Struthio camelus: one gene and its partner. The protein of the gene in region 1 interacts with the protein of each later gene in a biochemical or structural test. Links are inferred from orthologs where the notes say so. Each region holds a gene or a part of one and is shown in the gene's direction. Other genes may lie near its edges.

Region 1 (7,265 bases):
CCCGCGGAGGCTCCAGCGGGAGCACCTGCCCGCCGGCTGCCCACGCTGCGCTCGAGAGATTTGCTGCACCGAACTTAAGCATTATGGAGAAATGTTTTTAAACGTGTGACCGGCAGCACGAATTAATGGAAGATGCAAGAAGTTCTCGTTCTTATTTATCGAAAACCCGCTGAAAGTTACGCCCGGATCAACAAATTTCCCAAGGAGCAAGTGTCTTCGGTCGGCACGTCAGTCGTCAGACCCTACTGAGCTCAACAGCGCTTGTCGCTGGAGGATGTGCAGGATTTGTCCCCAGGGCTCGAAGGCCAGGACAGAGGGAGCTCCTCTGGACAGAAACTAATCACTCCTCTACGGTGTCTCTTCGAACGGCTTCGCTGGAAGCTCTCCCCCCCGGAAAGGATTTGGCCAGCTGAGGGAAAGTAATGCTGAGTTCCCGAGTGCCAGAGAAAGTTCCCCAGGGCGCCACGTAGACACGTGTCTCCTGCCGTTCCCAATCTCGAGGAGGCCTCGGTCGCAGGAGCTGCGCAAGCCCCTTCGGGCGTTTGCTGGGAACGGCCGCGCGTTTCCTTCCCCGCGGCGACAAGGCACCAGGACGTGGTCACCCCGCGCCCGAAGCAGGGCTTGAGCGCAGTTCCCGTGGGTTTGCTGGGGACAGACAGCGCCGCGTTGCTCCTCACGCACACGCACGGCCGCGGCCCCCACCGCCGGGCGTTTGCAGCTCTGCCAGCGCAGCCGGCGTGAAGGGGGAGTTTGCACCCAGGTGCAGAGAGCAGCCGCTGGCCTGTGCTCCAAACCCACCTCGCAGCAGCGCCGATTATGCAGTATTTGGAATGTGATTCTTCTTTCCTGGCTCTCCGTAAGACGCATTTATCCTCCTCGCTTTACTTCTCCCTCAGAACGGCTTTACTGCCGCGGTGCATCTTCGGCTGGATCCAGGCCTTCCTGTGTAGCAGAGGTGCAGAGCTAAGAGCAAGTCTCTGGGGAAAGGATGGATTGGAGCCAGATCTAAAGGCAACACCTTGGGTCTATGCCCCGCAGGTTTCCCGTCCCAGGCCACTCGCTCCGGGTGAGGGTTGTGCCCAGGGCAGACGTCCACCGCTTCTCCCCAAGTCTCCTCTGACCTTCCCTCGCTCAGACTCCAGCAGCTTGCGCTCTGGGGCCGCGTTTTAACCTCCCTCCCGGCCTGCGACACACATACACATTCGCTGTGTCTGCGGTGAAATCCGTGCTGGCCTGGCCAGGACCCAAGGCCTCTAGTTTCCGCAGTAAGTGATCTGGCACTGAACAAGACGAACGCTTCCAAAAGCAAGAATTTCTTCTACGTTTTATTTGGGCTTCCTTGTGTTCTCCCCTCGGCTGACGGCCGGGGCCATGTTCTGTGTGCACCATTGCACAGTGACATGGCGAAAAAGGCACATATTAAATGCTAACAGATCAAGTCCCCCATAAAGTTATCAACTCCCACACTTCCTCTTCCGTGGCTTCCGAGCGGGGCCGGCTTTGGTTTTGGAGAGCGATGTCCTTTACAAGGACTGCAGAATTCTGTCTCCTTTGCTCATACGGAGACTTGATTTAGTAATATTCTTTGCTCACTTTAAGCTAGAACCAGTTGAGATCACCGAAGAGCCGTGAGGTCGCTGAGGCTCATCAGACACCGGCGGGCCTGGGCTCGGCGCGAAGGTCAGGCCCTTCCCCAGGGCCCTGTTTCTCTGCAGACCGCAAGTGGCCTGTGAACCCGACGACTGCGCTGCGGTTAACACTAAAAAACCAGCACTGAACAGCACCTGCCTTGTTTTTTGCCAGTTTTCAAGCTCTGTCCGTACCTGAGTTGGTTACCGCGCTGCAGAGCTGTAACACACACCACAGCCGGCAACTGTTATTGCATTCAACAGCTTTCGGCTGGTAGCGGCCTCGAGAGCGGGCCTCAGCCCCAGGAGCTCAGGGCCAAACGCCCTCCTGGCCCCGGAGGGTGCCGGGCAGCGCCCATGCTCCCCTGCCCCCTCACGGATGGGCCCCGCCAGCCGCCTTCGGAGGAGGGAAGGGTCCCCCATTTATTTCTGAGACAGCCGAAGCCTCTGCCCAGCAGAGCTCCTGCCCCAAGAAAAGAGCGGAGAGGGCTGGATGCGGGGAAGCTGTTCACCTCCCGGCTTTGGCCAAGGGAGGTCTTGTCGCAGGAGCTGCGGAGCCGGGAGCCGCGGACCCTTGCGTCCCTGCCGGCTCGCTGGGACGGTCCCCTGCCCCTCCTGCCTGGTCTCCGGGATGCCCCCTCTCCCCTGAATGCCCCCCAGCCCCAGGATGCTCCTCACTCCTGGGATGCCTCCGGTCCCTGGGATGCCACTTGTTCACTGGGGTGCCCCATCCTTGGGATGCCCCTTCCCCCTCGGGATGCCCCCCGTCCCCTGGATGCCCCATGTTCCCTCGGGATGCCCCGTTTCTCAGGATGTCTCCCATCCCCAGGATGTCCTCTGGGATGCCTCCTGTCCCCTAGGATGTCCTCTGTCCTCCCGGGATACTCCTGTCCCCTGGGATGCCTCCCACCAGCCCCTGGGACGCTCCCTGTCCCTGCAATGCCCCTTGTTCCCCGGGATGTCCCTTCTTCCCTGGGATGCCCTGTCTCCTGGGATGTCCTGTTTCCTGGGATGCCCCCCGTCCCTGTTCCCGGAATTCCTCCTGTCTCCAGGAGTCCCCCATCTCCTGCGATGCCCCTCTCCCCCCTGGCTGCCTCTTGTTCCCCCGGGATGCCCCCCATCCCTGGAATTCCCTCTGTCTCCTGGGATGTCCCCTCTCCCCTGGCATGCCTGCCTCCCCCTCCTCCCCGATGCCCCTTGTTCCCCCGGGATGCCCCTTGTTCCCTGGGATCTCCCTCTCCCCTGAGATGCCCCTCTCCCCCAGGATGCCCCTTGTTCCCCGGGATGCCCTTTGTTCCCTGGGATCTCCCTCTCCCCTGAGATGCCCCTCTCCCCCAAGATGCCCCTTGTTCCCCAGGATCTCCCCTCTCTCCCGGAATGCCCCTTGTTCCCCAGGATCTCCCCTCTCTCCCGGAATGCCCCTTGTTCCCCGAGATGCCTCTCTACCCCAGGATGCCCCTTGTTCCCTGGGACGCCCCTCTCCCCCGAGATGCCCCTTCTCCCCCAGGATATCCCTTGTTCCTTGAGATGCCCCCTCTCCCCCGGGATGCCCCTTGTTCCCCCGGGATGCCCCTTGTTCCCTGGGATCTCCCTCTCCCCCGAGATGCCCCTCTCCCCCAGGATGCCCCTTGTTCCCTGAGATGCCCTTTGTTCCCTGGGATCTCCCTCTCCCCTGAGATGCCCCTCTCCCCCAGGATGCCCCTTGTTCCCTGAGATGCCCTTTGTTCCCTGGGATCTCCCTCTCCCCTGAGATGCCCCTTCTCCCCCAAGATGCCCCTTGTTCCCCAGGATCTCCCCTCTCTCCCGGAATGCCCCTTGTTCCCCGAGATGCCTCTCTACCCCAGGATGCCCCTTGTTCCCCGGGATGCCCCTTGTTCCCCGGGATGCCCCTCTCCCCCGAGATGCCCCCTCTCTCCCCCGGGATGCCCTTTGTTCCCTGGGATGCCCCTCTCCCCCGAGATGCCCCCTCTCCCCCAGGATGCCCCTTGTTCCCTGAGATGCCCCCTCTCCCCCGGGATGCCCTTTGTTCCCCGAGATGCCTCTCTCCCCCGGGATGCCCCCTCTCTCCCCCGGGATGCCCCTTGTTCCCCGGGACCCCCCTTCTCCCCCGGGACGCCCCTCTCCCCCGGGACGCCCCTCTCCCCCGCCCGCCCCCGGCTCTCTGCCCGAGCAGCCAGCTGCTGCTGCGCGCCCCGTCGGGGCCCTGCCGGCTGGCGGCGGCCGGGGCCGAGCGCGGCGGGGGCGGGGGCGCCGCGGGGGCGGGCGGGCGGGCGGCGGGGCTGGAGCGGCGCCGGGTTTCCGCCGGGAGGGGCGGAGCGGCGGGCCGCGGCCCGGGCGGAGCGCAGCGCAGCGCAGCGCCGAGCCGAACCGAGCCGGGCCGGGCTGGGCCGAGCCGAGCCGGGGCTGACAGCGCGGGGCAGCGGCGGGGGAGCCCAGCGGGCCGGGCCGGGCCGGGCGCCGCCGCGGGAGCAGCGCGCAGCGCCAGCGCAGCGGGGAGGCCGCGATGCGCGGCGGGCGCTGAGCGCGGGCCGCCGGGCGCCGAGGAGCGGCGGAGCGGAGCGGGGCGCGGCCGGGCCGGGCCGGGGGAGCGGCGGCGCCGGGGCCATGCCATGCCCGTAGGGAGAGATGCCTTTTGGAAATGGACACACTGGATCACAGCGCAAACATGGCGTCCCCGCGGCGCGGCTGCCCCTCTCGGGCTGGTGCCTGCTCTGCTCCCTGCTGTGCGGGGGGCTGGCGGCCGCCAGGACCCCCCCGGCCGCCGCCTGCCAGCCCTGCGCCGCCGGCTGTACCTGCGCCGCCGCCCGCGCCGGCGGCTCCTGCCTCGTCAACTGCTCTGCCCGCGGGCTGGAGCGCCCGGGCGCCGACGTCCCGCCGGCCGCCACGGCTCTGTGAGTACCGCGGGGCGCGGGGGGAGGCAGCGCCGCGGCCGCGGGTTCGAGCCCGGGGCGCGGTGGGGAGGCAGCGCCGCGGCCGCCGGTTCGAGCCCGGGGCGCGGGGGGAAGCGCCGCGGCCGCGGGTTCGAGCCCGGGACGCGTTGGGGGGGAAGCGCCGCGGCCGCCGGTTCGAGCCCGGGGCGCGGGGGGAAGCGCCGCGGCCGCGGGTTCGAGCCCAGGCGAGCTGCGAGTGCGGAGGGGCAGCAGTGCTCCCTCTTCGTTCAACTTCCCGGAGGTTAAATTTTTCCTGAGTGGGATTGGCGCGTTTATAAAACTCGCTGTGATTTAACACCGCGATGGAGACCGGACGCCTGACAGTAGGGACAAACATGGAGACATCTGAGAAAGTTTGCTGCACGGACGCCACGGGGTTAGACATGTGCAGAAGTGGCCTAAGCCAAGCGAAAGGGAAAACAGCTTCAGTATGTGAAAAATGCGGCCCCAGTCTGGCAGCCCAGCCCTGGTTCAGCAGCCTCAGCTGGAGCGGGACTAACGCTCCCTCTGTGCGACGTCGCTGATGACGGCGCGAATCACGGCCACGGGGCCGCTGGGACGCGTGCCGCTCCTCACCTGGAGAGAGCATTTTTGTGGTGCCCAGCAGCAGGACAAGAGGCAATGGGCAGAAACTGAACCACAGGCAGTTCCATCTGAACCTGAGAAAAAACTTCTTCACTGTGAGGGTGACAGAGCACTGGAACAGGTTGCTCAGAGAGGTGGTGGAGTCTCCTTCGCTGGAGATATTCAAAACCCGTCTGGATGTGATCCTGGGCAATGTGCTCTAGGTGACCCTGCTTGAGCAGGGAGGTTGGACTAGATGATCTCCAGGGGTCCCTGCCAACCTAAGCCATTCTGTGATTCTGTGATCCAGCCCGAACGGGGTGGTCTTGTCGCACCCAGCCAGTCCGGCTCAGATCTTGCCAAAACGCGGCAACTTGTGGGGCATATAAGTCCGTGAGGTCAGAAACATCTCATCAGTTACGTTGAGCAAACGTTAAGACGTTCCCTGCAGGTACGTTAGAGAAGGCTAGGAGGCTGGCCGCACGGAGGTATCGTGCTGGCGGCTTCGTTTCTGAGACACCGAGGAGAATTGTGTCAAGAAATGATCAGTTGGATGCGATTTAAACACTATTAATGACAAATAATTTTTTTAAAAACCCAACAAGTTCAAATCAGATTTTCTTGATGAAAGTAGTAAAAGGAGATGAGAGTTATGCTCGTGTCTAGCTGTTGAACCCTCTTGGTTTGGTAAAATCGGTCAGAAAGGTATGTTTCTTGGGAGAGTACAGGAATAGTCCATATGCTCAGTCACTTACAGTTACTGCTTGACGTGAAAAGCAGACTTAGAGCAGAAGTGTTTGGTTTGTTTTTAGAACCTAAATGTGTGCTCTTTAGGGAGTAACTTTTCCGTTCTTGAAGAGACAAAAGCAGCTAGTGATTCATGTTAAAGAGGTGACGTGGGGCCTGGCGCGATAGAAAAATCTCACATTAACTAACTTCTGCTGGTGTTTTAATAAGCTAAAGGCAGACGCCTTTCTACTCCTATAATCTTACATAAGTTTCCACTTTTAAGGGACAGTATAGATTAAAAAATATTGCAGAAGTTTCAAAACACCACAGTAAATTGTAGATCTGCAAGATGTATCTAGATTAACTTCAGGAAAAAACGTACTTCTCTAAATCCGGAAGATGAGGAGTTTTCCAAATATTTTCTTACAAAACAGACTTTTCCAAACAAACTAGCCACTGCTTTTTGCAGAATTTCCCAACCTGGGAAATACTGATTTTTATTTAATGGTTTCTGACGTTACATTAGACATTAGATCTATGGCTCTGGAAATTGAACGTGCCACTGGGACAGAGGTAGAAGATCCGAGTGCTTTCCTGGTCTCTTGTGCAAAAGCCTGCAGAAGACTGTGACGATAAGTAGTTCATTTGGCTTTTTAAGGATCCATGTTATGACAGTACGTTTCTAGGATTACTAATTTTGGAAGTAAGTGTTTGAGACTGTTTATATTATTGTTGTTTAGAGGCGTTGAGTTGTGAAAGCTCCCAACACATTTTGGATTATGTCCTATTATGCAATGACAAATTCAAGTTAGACATAAAGCTCTTGCAGGTCAACAAAACAAAGCACCCAGAATGTGAGAAGAGGGCATCTGTTAAAGCAAATCTATTGAAACTGCAGGATAGTATTACTGATGGGTTTTTTTTCTGATTTCAGTGGAGAATTAGTTGTTTACAACACTGTTAAGAGCAATGCTTTAAGAGGAACAATTTTGCTCTATTGAAAAATGATTGTCTTTGGAATTCAGACTTTAGTGAATTGTAAAATCACCTTTGTCCGCCAACAAATCATCTTGTGTGTATAGACTCAGCTGAAAAAGTTTGAGCTGGTAATATTCCGATTATTGGTACAAGATGTGTTGAAACGGTCTGCTGTGGCACATGGATTTCCCTTGGGAATAAGTTTGCTCCTCTATTTGACCTCCTAAGGACGAGACGTGAGCTTACATTGTTATTATAACCACTAAAGATTTATAGATGAATTTCTGTAGGGATGAGAGAGACTCCAGCTCGTGACACAGTGAAGTTATGCAAGTAGTTTTATCTAATCATTTCATGTGCCCATTGTTGAACAAAGACAGATAAAGTAAATAATATTTTTTAATAATTTGCTCTCTGTTGTCTTGAGGAGAATGTA
Region 2 (7,442 bases), on another chromosome or scaffold:
TGCCTAGTAAAAAAGGAGCTGAAGTAAGGTTGTATGGGACACCTGTAAGCCTGGGATATCCTAACTTGAGCATACGACTAGAAGCTAAATAACCTCTTTAATTTAATTTTGAATGTAATTTTTGTATGATGCAAAAATCTACAAAAATGAAGCAGTAGGGCAGAAGAATCTACCTAAGAATTAATTTACAAGTAAGAAAACTGCAAAAGTTGGAACTACAATGAAGTTTCTACTTCAGAATAATGAATGAGATACACTCAAAAACAAACAGTAATGTATTGTTTGTGCTTAACAAGGAAAGCAGAAACAGAAAAGTACTACTTAATTATAATGTTGCTAAGTTAATAATGCAGTAGAAATCTTAGCTCTTTTTAATTTTTGAGTGCTTAATTTCTTAATGTTGCATTAATGCTGTTTCCTAGTTTAATTTCCTTATATTTATTTGGTTTAGCAATTCAGAAGCAAAATGAGAGAAATATATTGTGAAATGCACTGTAATGATATCATAATGCTACTAAAACGCCTTGCATTTTCCATAAAGTTGCTGATTGCATTTAGAGTCACCTCAGCAGTGCTAAATCATTTTAACAGTTTACTCTTATCTCTAGTGTCATTAAAGTTCTCTAAGTTTAGGAAATGTTTTGGAAAAACTGGAACAAAAAACTCAAGTTCCTGTATGAAAATGGCGCCTTATAACATGCATAACTTTAAAAATAAAAAACAGATTTTCTTCAGGCATGAACCCTTTATCCTTCCGCTATGGGACTGTAAAGAAGCTATATAAAATCATGTGATCGTACAGTTACCGACTGGGCTGACTCAGCAAAGTGTTTAACTATGTATTTAAATTCCGTTGAAATCAATAGAATTTAACATGTGCCTAAATATGATGTTGAAAAGGGATGGATTTGCACAAGTGCTTTAAAGTTAAGCCTGTAGCTTTTCTGAAGTAGGCCCATTATACGTTGGAGTGAGTGGGAAGAATTCAGATTGTAAAAGCCCTACCTTTGGGGTGACTGACTTAATGAGTAAAATGTTTTAATAATAATTTTTATATATAATCTGAAATATAAAACACAATGCAGTAGTCATTATAGTCTGTGAATTAGCTAACATAGCGTATATTCTATATCTGTCATTTTAAAATATGTATGCCAAAATTAAGAATGCTTAAAGCTAAATATCTTTCTGCTCTTGAAAACAGTTTGCTTTTTTTTCAGTCACTGAGCTATCTGAAGTTAGATCTGTGAATGCTCCCTATCATAAAAAAAAAAGGCAGCTACATTTATAAGAACATACAAACGCATGTGGATGCCTAATACTGGGATCCCACACTTCAAAATTTTCTGTGTTATGGACTCTTTTTAAAACTTATTCCTGAAGTGTTTCCCTGTAATACGAGACTGATTATTTTGAGGCACTGAATCACTAAACAGGATTATATTCTGCTTGACTCAATAAGCAATGCCACTTTTTTTAAAAATGCATTTCTGTCTTCGTTAGAGAAGCTCTCTATTCTTACTGGTGGTCCCCCTTGTACTCTTGTCAAACATCTCCCCTGGTGCCATACATTTCCCACAAAAAATTGGATATATTTATTCTCAAGAGATAAAAGAGCCTTTACTTTCTCACTCCTTTCCACGTAAGCTGTTCTCCTCTTAGCATGGTTACAAACCGAAGCGCTCCGGCATCGGATCCTGGTGGTCTAAGCAGGTCTCCCAGAGGCAGTGCTGGCATCCTTGCAAATGAGATATAGAAAGTAGCCCTTTAGGGAACAAACTGCAATGGTTTGATCAACTCGATTACTGAGTAGTCTGAAGCTAAGCTAACTCTGTAGCACTATCCATGAGAATATTATGAGTATTACTTTCAATATTGATGATAACAAAAATTGTCAGCTGTAAACATTACCGTGATACGTGTGATACTAGTCCTGTGCTGTAACACCCTACATGTCGCTGTGCTGCCACTGCCTTTGGCCTTGCCCCGTCCGGAGCTGGGTTTGTACTGTCTGCAGAGCTTTAATTCTTCCACAGGCGAAGTACCTCTTTCCCCTCTACCTCTTTATAAATGGGGCAGAGGAAAGCAGAGTTACTATGTGTATGTGGTAAATTGATGAGGGTGGCGGTGGTGGGGGGGGGGGGGGGGGGAAGGCAGGGAGAGGAGGGTGTTGAGCGGTGATAGGTACTGATTGGGGGATCCTATTGGGAAAATCCTATTGTCAGCTGCTGCAGTCTCCATCTGTCCAAAGGGACAGACTGTAACTCTCAGCAAGATTAGATGATGTGGCATGTGGAGGAAGAAATGGTTTAGGAAGAAGGGAGGAGACTTGAGCCACAGACCTCTAAATGGCATAGATTATCCAGAGGTCAAAGGAATACAACAGAACTTTGGTATTGTGAATCTTCCTTGGTATCAGTTGTGAGAAATTTAAAAAAAAAAAAAAAAAAAAGAAGCCCTTCACCACAACCTAACGTGTTAGAACAACAGACAGTTCAGGTCTTGGCCAAAAGGCAAAACCGAGCTTCAGATAACTGTCTGGCATTCTTGCATCTTCAAGAATAAGAAATGCTTGCGATAGTCCAGAGATTTGCTGGGTCTTCTAGAAACCCTTGAGAAAACCTCTGCATTGGCTTTTTTATTTTAGTGAGTAATCACTTCCCTGATGTCATTGCCACTATGCTAAAGTAGGAACATGGAGGGGCACTCAGCACTTTGGAAGGTGCCTGGCCACCATGCGGTAGTCATATAGTTAGGAAACGAGAGGATTTGGTCACCTGTGCAGCAAACACTTTATAGCACAGCGGGACCAGAGAGGTATTTAAAGTATCGTTTGTAACAGTGAAATGAAACTTGCCTTATCTAGGTGTAGCTCTATTAATCAGCAAACAAAATATACAACTTCTGAAACAGCGTTATGAAAAACAAAGCTTGCTATAGCATGCCTGAAGCCTTGCCAAGACCCAGGGGAGTGTGGTGCTGTAGTCTGACATGCAGGCAAATGCTACGATTCTGAAACCACATCGCCTCGTAAAACTGAGAAAGACGCAGTGCAAATTGCTTGGTGCTTCTAAATATAAGTGTGAGCTGCTCAGCCCCCTCCAAATTTTAATAAGTCAACAGAAAAGTGCATAGTATGTAAGCATGTATCATTTGCTGTGCCACAACTGGTAAGTTACTATGAGAATTGTATTGAGCATGCCAAAAATGGAAATGCTGCTCATAAATGAAGGTATGAAACCAGCTCCCCCATTAACATGTCCCTCCACCTTCAGCTTCCCCTGGCAGCACCCCCCCACCCCCCCACCCCGGCAGTTTCAGAAATCGCCTCTTCTGGGCTGACTGCAGGTCCTGTATCGAAAAGGCAGCAGCGAGACTCTACTGCTAAAGCCAACTGCAGCGTAGCCAGAGAAACGGGCAACAAAAATAGCACACCAGGATTGCTGTGCGTGGGTGAGGCAGAAACCACATTATGAGCAAAAGCTTCCAGTATTATTTCAGAACCAATACAGAGGCCTTTGCGTTTTGCTCGCTCTTCACAAAATCCCCCGGGGGGAGGGGAGGGCTGGGGGCCAGGAGAGCCCGTCAGCAGCGAAAGGCGGTGAGGGCGGCCGGCAGGGCCTCGCTCCTCGGCGCGGATGTGGAGGTGGAGGTGGAGGTGGACGGGGGCCCTGGCCCGCTCTCCCCACGCCCGCCCGCGCAGAAGCAGGGCTGCTGGAGCGGGCAAGGGTTAACTGCGCTCGAGGGCGAGCGGTGGAGGATCGCAGTCTGAAAGACAGAGACTGGACAGCTGTGTTTGCTGTGGTATTTTTAAATGCATTAATGCAGGCTCCAATCACCCGGCCATGCTTGACCTATTTTTGGCTCAGGCCAGCCATTGTTCTATTTCTGCCGCCTCTGGGCCACAGTGGTGTTGATTCATATGCAAATGCGGTGGCAGGAGCCGCGGCCAGCTCCGCCGAGCCCGGAGCCCGGCCGGCAGCGCGGCGGGCAGAGCGGCACTTGGCCGGCCGAACCCTAAGGGGCTCTTAGTCCCTGGAAACGGTGCTGATTTAGTTTCGTTTTTTTAAGAGGCTCTATCCTCCCCCCCCTCCCCCCCCCCCCCCCCCGGGCCAAGAAAGCCTGAAGCACAAAAATATTTCTTCATTTCTTCTTCCACCTGCTGTTGGCTTCCAGAGCACAACTGTTCAAACTCAGGGGTGCAGAGCCCACTGGGTACTTCCTATTCTTTTGCAGCAGACTGGGGCTGTGTGAAGTGGATCTTGCTTTTTTTCTTTCCTAGTAGCTATTTGTACAGATGCTTAAACATTGCTAATTACTGAAGTGTTTTATCTTGCAACCCTCGCTGGAGGAGGTAGGAGGACAGAGGGTCGCGCCTGACACCCCTGTGCAAGTGCAGTGATGAATCTTTCATGTAGCTGAAGTACAGCCTGGTTGGAATATGCTGCAGACAATTTACGAGAGTGAATCGTGTTTTTCCTCAGATGGGGTTTCTGGACGGGAGCAGCTCTTGGCTCAGCAAAGAATGCACAGTATGATCAGCTCAGGTAAGAGACAGCCCAGTTCCTCAGACTTCTCTGCCTCTGTGGCGGCTTTCTCAGAAAATGCAACCTGCTACAACTGAACGGAAAAAAAAAAAAAACCAAGCCCCTCCTTTAAAGAGCTGAGTTTATTTTTGTGGGCTTTTTATAAGTTGTTGTTAAGTACCATGTCTCTACCATGTTGTTTTAGATATCAGCTGCTGCTTTTGTTTGGGGTGGGGGGGGTCTGTCTTCTTTAGTCTACTGCTTTCTAGCAAGAGCAGAAAGCTATCAGCTGAAATATAGTTTGCAATTCCTGTCTTGTTTTATTTGTTTTGTTCTCTGATTGCAAAATGGGGCTTTGGTAGAGGCTTATTCACAGAGAGAGGCTTCATCAGACCAGACCTTTTTGGTAGGCTGCACTTAGAGCCCATCACAGGCAGCTCTGTTCATATGTAATTTTGTAAACAGGATTTGGTCTTTTTTGTGAGTTTCCTTTTCTCAAGTTTACATACAAAGGGATTTTTTTTTACATTAATCCTTTCCTGTTTTCCTAATGGTGTTGCTTTAAAAAATGCTAAAGCAAGTCTGTGTCTTTAATATGCATGGTTTATTTTGTTACTTTAAAAATATTTGGGAACTTGGCAGCGGTACTCAGATGTAATGACTCACTGAAATGTAAATTGGATGTATTTTTAATGAAGGTATTTCAAAGCTGCTCTGATAAAACATTGGATGTTACTTCATGTATTTGAAGCCCTCTTATATTTTCTGCTTTCTTTGTTAGCTGGATGTGAGACCTGCACAGGATGTACTGAGGATGAATAAAGCCCTAAGAACTGTAGCCATTCAGTTAAAATGTCAATTTAGACAGACTAAAAAAGTCTAAATTTCGGATTACCTTTGCCCTTTCTCTCTTAAACTCTGGCAGCTCCAGTTCTTTTTTTATTGGGCTGAACCTCTGCCTTTTGAGGCACAACGTTAGTCGCTTTATATGTTTTTCAATCCTACGTTTCTGACTTTGTTTTTCATATAATTGGTTTAAGGAGGATATGTACCTAAAATACAGTGTGAATAGTATACTTTAGTCTTAGTCTGCTCCCTCCTTTTTTTTAAAAAAAAAAAAGTTGGCAGCGCTTCCCACTTGTTCAGCATGATTATGTTGGTGGACCACAGATCTGTTTGAGTATTCCCTCTTTTGGTACACCTGTTGAGCCCGTGGTTGGTTGTTTGGTCGGTTGGTTGTTGTTGCTTTTTTTTAAAAAAAAGGTTCTATTTCTTTTCCTGCTGTATAGAAAAACAACTTAAAGCTGTACTTATATTTATTTTTTATTGCATATAACTGTAGAGCAGAATTATGGTTTCAGATATTAAAATAGATTGTTGTGAGAGATTGTGTCAAATAGCAACACCTTTCATGCAGGTTCAAATAATGAGAATCCCTAAGGGAAGGAAGAGTTCCAACTGGTAATGTTTAAGATTGGCAGTTTTTCCCCTTCCTTAAAAAGCTGCTGGGTTGGTTTGTTTCTTTTCATTTGAGGCTTTAGGGGTTTGTTTTTATTTTGGTCCTCTCAGATGATCTACCATTTCTTTATCTTTTTAGAGTAGGTTTTGATCACCAATTACAATTCCCATCTAAAAGACAGACATCAGGTGAAAGACTTATTTACAAACGTGAACAACTAAGCTGTAGCTAAGATAATGGATAAAAGCAGAAAGTTTTCTGAAAAAGTTGCCTTATAGTTCTGCAAAATCGTCTATAATGTTGACCTGTTGTTCAAGAAGTACTGCTTTGCTTTGTTTTTCCTGAACAGGTCAGCAGGTGCCCAGTGCTTTTGTATTGGTCGGAGAGATGGCACTGACTGCTTTTCTCCCCTCCCCTATTTTTGTTAATAATCCATCAGGTTGGACTTAGCTCTACATAAGTGAAAATCTGCTTTGTTAGCTCGCTATGCTACCTTGTAACCCACTAACTAATGTTCCTTGAGTAATAGCAATTTTCTTAATTGAAACACAAGAGAAGGAGAGAATTTTCTGTAAGTTTATAGCACTGCTGTTCTTCACTGGAGACAAAGATGCCATGCAGCATTTGGTTTTTATCTGATATTACATTAGGCCCAAATACCATTATGTAGTGCAAAGTAGAATAGAGTTTTTTGTTTTTTTTTTTAAATGGAGAGTCAAGATTGTTATCCAGGTAAGAGAAGTTTAAATATATATGCTTTGTAGAATGCAAAATAGCCTTCAATGTTTCTTTTGGCCTTTGAAATATACAACTAGATTGCAAGAAGTTGACACTATACTTAATCTGCAATTTAATTCATAGCACATGAAACCACAAAGTCTGGTGCTGCTGTCAGTTACCTTCCGCTCTCTTGAGCTCAGGGTCTTGCAGGATCAGGCCTGATAATTTTGTGTGTATTGTCTCCTTCTGTGCTGCATATAGGGGAGAAAGGAATTTCCCAGGGTATGATGATGTGCTCTGGTGTTAGGAGCAGCTAAAATCAGTCATTTGAATTTTGCTAACTGCAATATCTTTACTTTAAAGTTACCTTCATTCACATACATGTAGCTTTTGCTCAGATTTTGCACCTATTTAAGAAGAGAAGAGGTCCCTGAACATTTACAGCTTGCAGCCTTGATATTTCTGAAGTCCTGAATGAGCAGAACATAAGCACTCACTTAATGGATTTTTAAGTTTGCTAGTTTCCGGATGCGATGGGCGTGTATTCTTCACCTCTAATTTTAAGTGGGCCAGAGTCAGCCCCAAAGAAGACAGATTCAGTGGCCAGTGGATGCATATTTGCAAAGCAAACGGTCTGAGGAATTTCTGACAATAGCAGGCAGAGGAAATACTCCTGTCATGTGAGGCAGTTCTTCTGGTATTCCCTCAATTACTACTTTGCCTGTCTGTCTCCATCC

What was found.
Region 2: the proteins of PKD1 (region 1) and HDAC9 form a complex in vitro, tested with the Homo sapiens proteins (2 studies listed by BioGRID, with this or other methods). The link is inferred for Struthio camelus from reciprocal best matches to the Homo sapiens genes PKD1 and HDAC9.

The regions. Positions count from the first base shown.
Region 1 is NC_090956.1:1,860,129-1,867,393, forward strand, and holds the start of PKD1 (polycystin-1), read left to right. Parts: upstream 1-4,210; 5' UTR 4,211-4,253; coding exon 4,254-4,519; intron 4,520-7,265. UniProt on the Homo sapiens protein: Component of a heteromeric calcium-permeable ion channel formed by PKD1 and PKD2 that is activated by interaction between PKD1 and a Wnt family member, such as WNT3A and WNT9B. Both PKD1 and PKD2 are required for channel activity.
Region 2 is NC_090943.1:34,970,513-34,977,954, forward strand, and holds the start of HDAC9 (histone deacetylase 9), read left to right. Parts: upstream 1-4,376; 5' UTR 4,377-4,441; coding exon 4,442-4,547; intron 4,548-7,442. UniProt on the Homo sapiens protein: Responsible for the deacetylation of lysine residues on the N-terminal part of the core histones (H2A, H2B, H3 and H4).